Linked DNA regions of Oryza sativa Japonica Group. The main gene of each other region encodes a partner of the protein of the gene in region 2 in a complex. Links are inferred from orthologs where the notes say so. Each region holds a gene or a part of one and is shown on either strand. Other genes may lie near its edges.

Evidence for each region. The genes of interacting proteins can lie anywhere in the genome.
Region 1: nuclear-pore anchor (region 2) and nuclear pore complex protein NUP96 share a complex: the UniProt entries of both Arabidopsis thaliana proteins name them as parts of the nuclear pore complex. The link is inferred for Oryza sativa Japonica Group from reciprocal best matches to the Arabidopsis thaliana genes NUA and SAR3.

The regions. Positions count from the first base shown.
Region 1 is NC_089037.1:3,868,832-3,872,870, forward strand, and holds the start of nuclear pore complex protein NUP96, read left to right. Parts: upstream 1-1,239; 5' UTR 1,240-1,402; intron 1,403-1,534; 5' UTR 1,535-1,697; coding exon 1,698-4,039. UniProt on the Arabidopsis thaliana protein: Contributes to the transfer of mature mRNA from the nucleus to the cytosol. Required for both R gene-mediated and basal disease resistance. RNA export seems to play a critical role in stress responses and regulation of plant growth and development.
Region 2 is NC_089036.1:31,504,578-31,508,433, reverse strand, and holds part of nuclear-pore anchor, read left to right. Parts: coding exon 1-2; intron 3-69; coding exon 70-177; intron 178-1,756; coding exon 1,757-1,819; intron 1,820-1,931; coding exon 1,932-2,109; intron 2,110-2,462; coding exon 2,463-3,712; intron 3,713-3,815; coding exon 3,816-3,856. UniProt on the Arabidopsis thaliana protein: Component of the nuclear pore complex. Acts as a docking site for activities required for desumoylation and mRNA export. Required for the proper expression or localization of a subset of miRNAs.

The sequences.
Region 1 (4,039 bases), on a different chromosome or scaffold from region 2:
AAAGGACCATGTAGGTGTGGCTTTCCCATTGTAAAAGTGGCAGTTCTGCAACAGTGAGAAGGCCATGGGTGATTGTAAGCAGTGTTGGCCTTAGGGGCAACATGTGTATCCAAAAGAAAAACTAATAAATGTATGCTTGTTGTGCACCAAGATATATGCTTGCTGTGCACCAAGATATGGTTTTGCAGACTGCAGTCGAATGTGTCTTAAACATTTCTGAAAACGATGAACATTTCATAATATTCTTACCTCGCTGGAGTTCTCCCAACCCGAGTCCAAGACTTGATTCCGCATGGGCCGCTGTCTGCCAAATGGATCGTTGGCGAACGCCCGGCCTACCTAGATTTTTTACGTGGACCTTTTTTGAAAACTTGTTTTACAATAGACCATAGAAAAATTATTCTAGGAAAATGGACAATTTTCTAGCCCCCGAGGTCCAACGTATCGGTGCCAACGCGCGGGTGCCGACACCCTTGCTCCCCTAGCAGCCAAGATGTAGAGGTGTAAGGACCTATTTATAAAATATTTTTATAATAAATATAGGTCCTTTGATGCTAAAGATGCCGATGCTTTTGTTGGAGAAAATTTAAACCTTTTTTCGAATCCTTTTACAAATAAGCCTTCAGTGTTAGTCTCTTTGACACAAACCTTATTTACATCAGTAACTTAGCTACCATGGTAGGAAGAGTGTCGGTAGAAGTGTCATTGACGCCAAGGTGCCAATAAGCTTTGGTGTTGAGAAAAATGGTATATTCATGGAATATTTTAGAGGTCTATTTATAAAATAAATTTATCAAAAAGACTAATAATAACCGTAATAATAAATCTAGACTGACCTTCTCGCCGGCGCTGCCGAGTTGAGCCGCTAATTCCCCCAGCATGGAAGTTCTCAAACTAGTCCATTTCTAAATCGCATTTGTAACACGCGATCCACAACATTTTTCACGTTAGTCCTTTTATTTGGACTGCTATCAAAGCAGTACACTATCAAGCTCCGTAATTTTTTTACTTTAGCCCCTGGTTAAGTGATTATGATCGCTACCATTAGCAATGATCCATAAATTTTCGCTTTACCCCCTTATTACTTATTTGGACCGCTCCCGTTGGTACTACAGGTCTGATACTTTTCACTTTGGCCCCTGGTTCGGATCACTTGGGAAAGCGTAAGAAGAGATGCTGGAGTGGGAAATGAACGGCAGGATGATGCTCCATCACTCAATCCAACGGTCACGATAATTCGGATGCCCCAGAAATCCTCGCGAAGGGTTTAGTGCGAGCTCCCCCCTCTCCTCCTCCTCGCCGGCCGCCGCTCCGCTCCGCTCAAGCCGCCGCCTCCTCCTCTTCCCCCTCGCGGCGGCTGCGGCGGCGTCCTCCCCGCCGGCGAACCTCCTCGCCCTCGAAGGTAACCGCTCTCCTCCCGTAGCCCTCCTCCCCTCCCGACCCCCTGCGCAGTCTCCGCGCGGAGATCCACCCGCAGTTCATTCCCCTTGTTCAAATCTAATCCGAATCTCTCCTCCTCTCGAACCCCCTGCAGTTTGTTGGGGGATTTTGTTTGCAGCAGTTGGTTTCCCAAGTGAGGAGAAGAATCTGAATCTGGAGTGGTTTGGTGGAGCGAAGGGCTTGGCTGCGCATGAAGCTATGAAGTCCGGCGGCGCTAGGGCTTGCTGATTCTGTCTCGGTTGCCTCATTGGCCTGCCATGTCTTCCGACCCGGTGTTCCCCGTGCTCCGCCATGGCGATTACTTCACCAAGCCGTCGATCGATGAGCTGGTGGAGAGGGAGGCGGCTGACCCTGGCTACTGCAGCAGGGTCCCGGATTTCGTCGTCGGGAGGGTCGGGTATGGGCGAATTCACTTCCCCGGTGACACTGATGTGAGGGGGATGGACCTGAATGGGATCGTTAAGTTCGGTAGGCACTCTGTGGAGGTTTACAAGGATGAGGCTAGCAAGCCGCCTTTAGGGCAAGGTCTTAATAAGCCAGCAGAAGTGACGTTGATGCTGAATTTGAGCGTGCTTCCAGAGCCTAGCGCTCTTGGGGAGTTGCTTAAGTGTCAAACGAGAAAGCAAGGCGCTAGGTTCGTTTCGTTCAACCACTCGAGCGGCAGGTGGAAGTTCGAGGTTGATCATTTTAGTCGATTCGGTCTTGTGGACGAGGAGGAAGAGGATGTTGTGATGGATGAGGTGGTTGTTCGGCAGCCTATTGCGGAAGTAAGAGACCCACCTGCAAATGGTCATGAGCTGGAGCTTTCACGTTCGTTGCCTGCTCATCTTGGGCTTGACCCTGCAAAGATGCATGAAATGCGGATGACGATGTTCTCCAATGAGGAAGGTGATGAAGATATGGAGGATGGATTCCCATCTGATCAGAGATACTTCAGCAGTGAGAAGATGAATGTGGATTCACCGAACTCAAGTGCTAAAGGTTTGAGGCTAAGGTCTCTCTCTCCTTTGCATGGTTCTTCTCTGAAAGTCAGCAGGAGACCTGGTGTAATTGGTAGGAGAGAACCACAGGCTCTGCTGGAATACAGTGTAAATTCTTCAGAACATGGCCCATCTTCTCATGGTATTCTTATGTCTGGGCAAAACAAGGGATTTCCAGTGAGAATGACCAAGGTGGATGGCTTTAAGTTGCCATCTGATCAGGAAACTCCTGTGGCTGGGAACGTATATTCCAATTGTGTTGTGGATGCTGCTTTATTTATGGGCAGGTCATTTCGTGTTGGTTGGGGACCAAATGGCATCCTTGTACATTCTGGCAGTCTTGTCAATAGACCCGGAACTGGTCTATCTTCTGTTATTCACATAGAGAAAGTTGCAGGCGACAAAGTTGTACGTGATGAGAAGAACAAAATTAAGGAGGAGCTGACTGATCTGTGCTTCTCAGACCCGCTGGATCTCCATAGGAGGCTTCATCATGAATATCTGGAGACTGAGTCTGACTTGTTTAAATTGAAGCTTCAGAAGGTTGTGGCAAGTCGCTTTGTGTTGCCAGATATTTGCAGATCTTATATTGACATCATTGAAAGGCAGCTTGAAGTCAGTGATTTATCTATGTCTTCTCGTGTGCTGTTAATGCACCAGGTTACAGTTTGGGAGCTTATTCGGGTCTTGTTCTCAGAAAGAGCAACTGGTAACCAGTTAGAGCCTACTGGTGATGAGGACCAGGAGGGGATGATTTTAGATAAGAAAGAAGGTACTGTTGCCATAGACCTTGAAGCACTCCCTTTGGTTAGAAGAGCAGACTTTAGCAATTGGTTACAGGACAGTGTTTGTCATCGGGTTCAAGGAGAGGCGGGCTCCTTAAATGATGCCAGGTATCTGGAACATATTATTCTGCTTTTGACTGGTCGGCAATTAGACACAGCCACAGAAGTTGCTGCCTTTAGGGGTGATGTTCGACTGGCAATTTTGCTAAGCCAGGCAGGTGGGTCAATGCTAAATCGTTCTGACCTTTCTCAGCAACTGGATCTATGGAAAACAAATGGTCTGGATTTTGATTATATTCAGGAAGACAGGTTAAAGATATATGAGTTGCTTTCTGGTAATGTACAAGGCGCGTTGGTAGATTCATCAATTGACTGGAAACGGTACCTTGGTTTAATAATGTGGTATCAACTATCACCTGATGCATCACTTGATATTATCATTCACTCTTATCACCAGCTCCTTGGTGAGGGCAAAGTCCCATATCCTGTACCTGTATATATAGATGAAGGACCCCTTGATGAGTCACTTCAATGGTCCCCAGGTGACCGCTTTGACATATCCTTTTATCTAATGCTGCTTCATGCAAATCAAGACGAGAAGTTTGGGATGCTAAAAACTATGTTCAGTGCATTCTCATCTTCATATGATCCCTTGGACTACCATATGATCTGGCATCAGTGTTCCATTCTGGAAGCTATCGGTGCTTTCAGTTCAAATGATCTTCATGTGCTAGATTTGAGTTTTGTTTACCAATTATTGTGTCTGGGGAAGTGCCATTGGGCTATCTATGTCATTCTACATATGCCTCATCTTGATGACGCCCCATACATCCA
Region 2 (3,856 bases):
AGGTCAGGAGGTTGTGATTTTTATGAACATGAACTCCTTCAGGTTTCTTACATAAACATATATTAACAGACATTGGAAAAAGTCTTGGAGAAAGAGAGAGATGATAATAAGAAAGAAAAAGCATTCCGCAGAAGGAATGAGAAAGTATTTACTACCGCCATTCAAAATATGAATCAGGTATTTCTTCCTCAACTAGCCTGAGTACAGTCTTGTCTTAAAAATTTTTTTGTTTATCGTCAGTTGGGTTTAGATTGAGCACCAAATTTATCATGGAACTACTGATTTAATACAGATTGTCACAAAGCTACACATTAAGTAGCAAATTTGTCACAAAGCTACTGGTTTATTGCCAATTTAATCCCAAAACTACAACGTCTATATCTTCAACATAACTGTAGTGCTAGGGATTGAAAATCTAAAATCTGTAGTTTTTTTATAACTTGAGCAATAAATCTGTAGTTTTGTGATACTTCTCCCTAAATCTGTACCTGATAGCTTTGGGGGAGTGGATTCTAATCCCTTGAGGGGATGTCCCGTCGTGTACCTTTTTCTTTCAAATTCGATACAAATAGTTGTAAAAATTTATGAAAAAAATTCGACCTACTATTTATATCTCTCGACGTGTGCGTTGCGTTTGGACCTAAGATTTTATGGAGTTGTATACTTATGTTGTATGAGTGTTGTCGATCTTTTCCAGAATTTTTCATAACCATTTGGATGGTTTTTAAGCAAACAAGGGGACATCCCTCGAGGGATCAAAATAGTTTCCCTAGTTTTGGCACTAAATGTATAGTTTTGTGATTTGTCTTAAATCCGTAGTTTGTGAAATTTTCTCCTTTTTTTTAACCGATGCAGTAGATTTTCTAATAAGAAAAGCCAAGGAAGTAGACATTAAGATAATGAAAGATTGATATGTTGACATGTTCACAGATGAACTTAGAAAAATGAAAAACTTAATGTGTTCTGGGATATACAAGATGAAACTTTTAAGTAGGATGTTTTAGTGTATTCTAGAGTTGGAAAGTTGGCATCATTATGAATGTTCTAAAGAATAAGTGCCATTTTAAACCTTACCAAAAAATTGGCAAGCCAAATTTTGGTAAAGTTTGAGTGTTTGGTTTATAACCAAGTTTTTGTCAATGTTGCTTGTGATGTATTGATTGTTTTTGCCAAAATATTGGCAACACAAAATCTATGGCAACAAACCAAACACACACATTTTCTTGCCCTTGCCAATTTTTTTGTATAGTTTGTTTGGGCTATAAACCAAATGCTAAGTGTTCATGTCCATTGCCAAACCAACCCTGAGTATTAAGCCTATCATTATGATCTACACTTTTCGTTACATTTTCTTCTATTGAATGATTTCTTAGAATATGAAATTTCACTGTTTAAAGCTTGCAAATGTAGCATCATTTGAGTTTGCTAATGGTTAATGTTTAGCATGATCACAGGCAATTATAGTACACTATAGTAAATTATTGTCTGGGGTTTGCTTATTGGCTTTTCAGGCCATGTCCCATTCCTGTGATAGCCCTTAATGATCAGTTAGCATGCATTGCAGCTTGCTCCAACCTGTTTCCTTAGTATTTACTCGTATTTGTTACCTAATGATACATGATGTGTACCTATTAAAAATGCAACATAACAACTTCATAGTTGCTTGTTTCTCCAATAATTAATCTGTCCTGCCTGGTTAGTGTGTGGTATATGCGCACCCTCTAATCCACTTGTTGCTTTCGAAAATTAATTGCAGGAAAGGAAACAAGTAGAGGAATCAATTGAGAAGCATAGGCAGGCTGTGAAAGAGGTGATTGAGGTACAGTTTATCTGCTCCCATAGATTTCATGTTTCATTATTGCTGCTGCAAATGAAAGTTCCTAGTATATTTTATTTAGAGCTTTGCTACAGCTGATGTGCGTTCTCTGCAGCATTATACTGGAATATCCTCTCAAATCCCATCTGGATCTGCAATCGATGAGCAGCTGCGTTCATATTTCCTTGCCATCAAAGCTGTTGAGGAGTCTCCGAGTCCCTTCCAAGATGGTGCAGCAAGCCAGACACCATCTGTTGAAAGTGCCGATGTGGATGCATCTGCAGCTACTGCAGGTTCCTTTCTGTTCAATTTTTCATTCCACGCTGCTAGTGTATATTTAATGATCTCTATTAGTTAATCATAGTATCTGTTAATGACATGTGATACTTACTAGTTCAGAAATTATATTAGATCTGATCTATTACATGTACTCTTGAACTCGATGTGAATTTGGTTTTGAATGATTTGGCATGTCAGATATTGTTCGGACTTCGGAATGTGATATGATATTGGATTTCTAATGCATCATTTTCTTGCATTGGTTCCATCGCGTGGATCTGAATAATGTGTTTTTCCTTTGCTTTACCGTCACTTGATCAATATGGTAGTTCATAAGGCTGCTGCTTTTTTTTTTTTCTAATCTCAGGGAGACAGGTAGCTACTCCACCAAGGCCTGCTCAAGTTAAAGTGGTGGAGGAGAGAGCAGTTTCTACTTTGCCCAAACCAAGCACTGAAGTACGTAGACCAGGAGGAAGGAGACCACTTGTTCGACCTTCACTTGAACGAGTTGAAGAACCCCAAGCTGATATTGATACAACAGTAGTTGAAGGTTCCACAGAGAAAGGCGGCTTGTTGATGGAGCGTGAAACTCCTGGTGGTGTATCTGCGTTACAGCCATCAAGTCGTAAACGTCTAATTCCATCACCACAAACGAGAGATGATGCTTCACAAGGAGAGACAACGGATGCCAATCCACCACTGAAGAAACCCAAAGAAGGATCTTCACAATGTACTAGTGAGCTAAAAACTGAACAGTCACCTCATGAAGATGTCATGGCACCTGTTCCTGTGCTACCATCTACAGAGTTAGATGAGCAACAGCCTGGAGAAGAGATGGACACCGATCAGTCTTCCTTGCCAGTTGAAGAGGTTGAGGAAACAAGGGAGGATGACTTGGGTGATAAGGATGACATGGAAACACATATAGACGCTTCAATGGACATCCAAGGACAAGATGCAGAAACTGGTATTGATAATGATGCAACTACTGTGGAAGATGTGCCAGTCAAGTCAGAAGCGGTTATGGAATCACTGGAGGAAGACCTGAAAACTGAGGATGGGAAGGAAGAGGGTCAGTTTACTGCAACCACTGATGTTGAAGATGAGAGGGAGGAGGGAGAGTTGCCAGATGAACCAGAACAACCAGACAGCACTCCCCCTGTGCTGGATGTTGGTGAGCAAGCCGGTGATTCTTTCAGGGCGGCATCTCCAGCAGGACCAACTGAAAAGAGTGATGTTGACATGCCAGAAGAAACTGGAGAAGGTGATGGTACCATGGAATCAGACCAAAGCCCTGTACCACAATCTGGTGGAGCAGATGCGTCACCGAGCCAAATGGCTGATGCGTCACCAAGCCCTGCACGTGAACCTTCTCCTAACCCAGTCCAAGCTGGTGCACCTCCTGAACAGCAGAATCCCACCCCTCCTAACCCAGTCCAAGCTGGTGCATCTTCTGAACAGCAGAATCCCGCCACTGCAGCAGAAGGTGTTGAAACTCGTAGTACCAGAACAATCAACCTAACTGAGAGAGCGAGGCAAAACCGGCAAGCCAGGATTCTTCGCTCAGCCACTCAACAGAATGCAAGGGGCCGTGGCAACCAGTCTCTTACATACAGGGTATGGTTTTATACTACAAGACTACTGAGTTTATTTCTGTTGTGTTCTATTTTTGTTATATCCAGTGTTAATTCTGATGGAGAACAATGTTTTCTATGTGCAGAAAGATGGCGGCCGAGGAACACGGGGTCGTGGTGGGCGTGG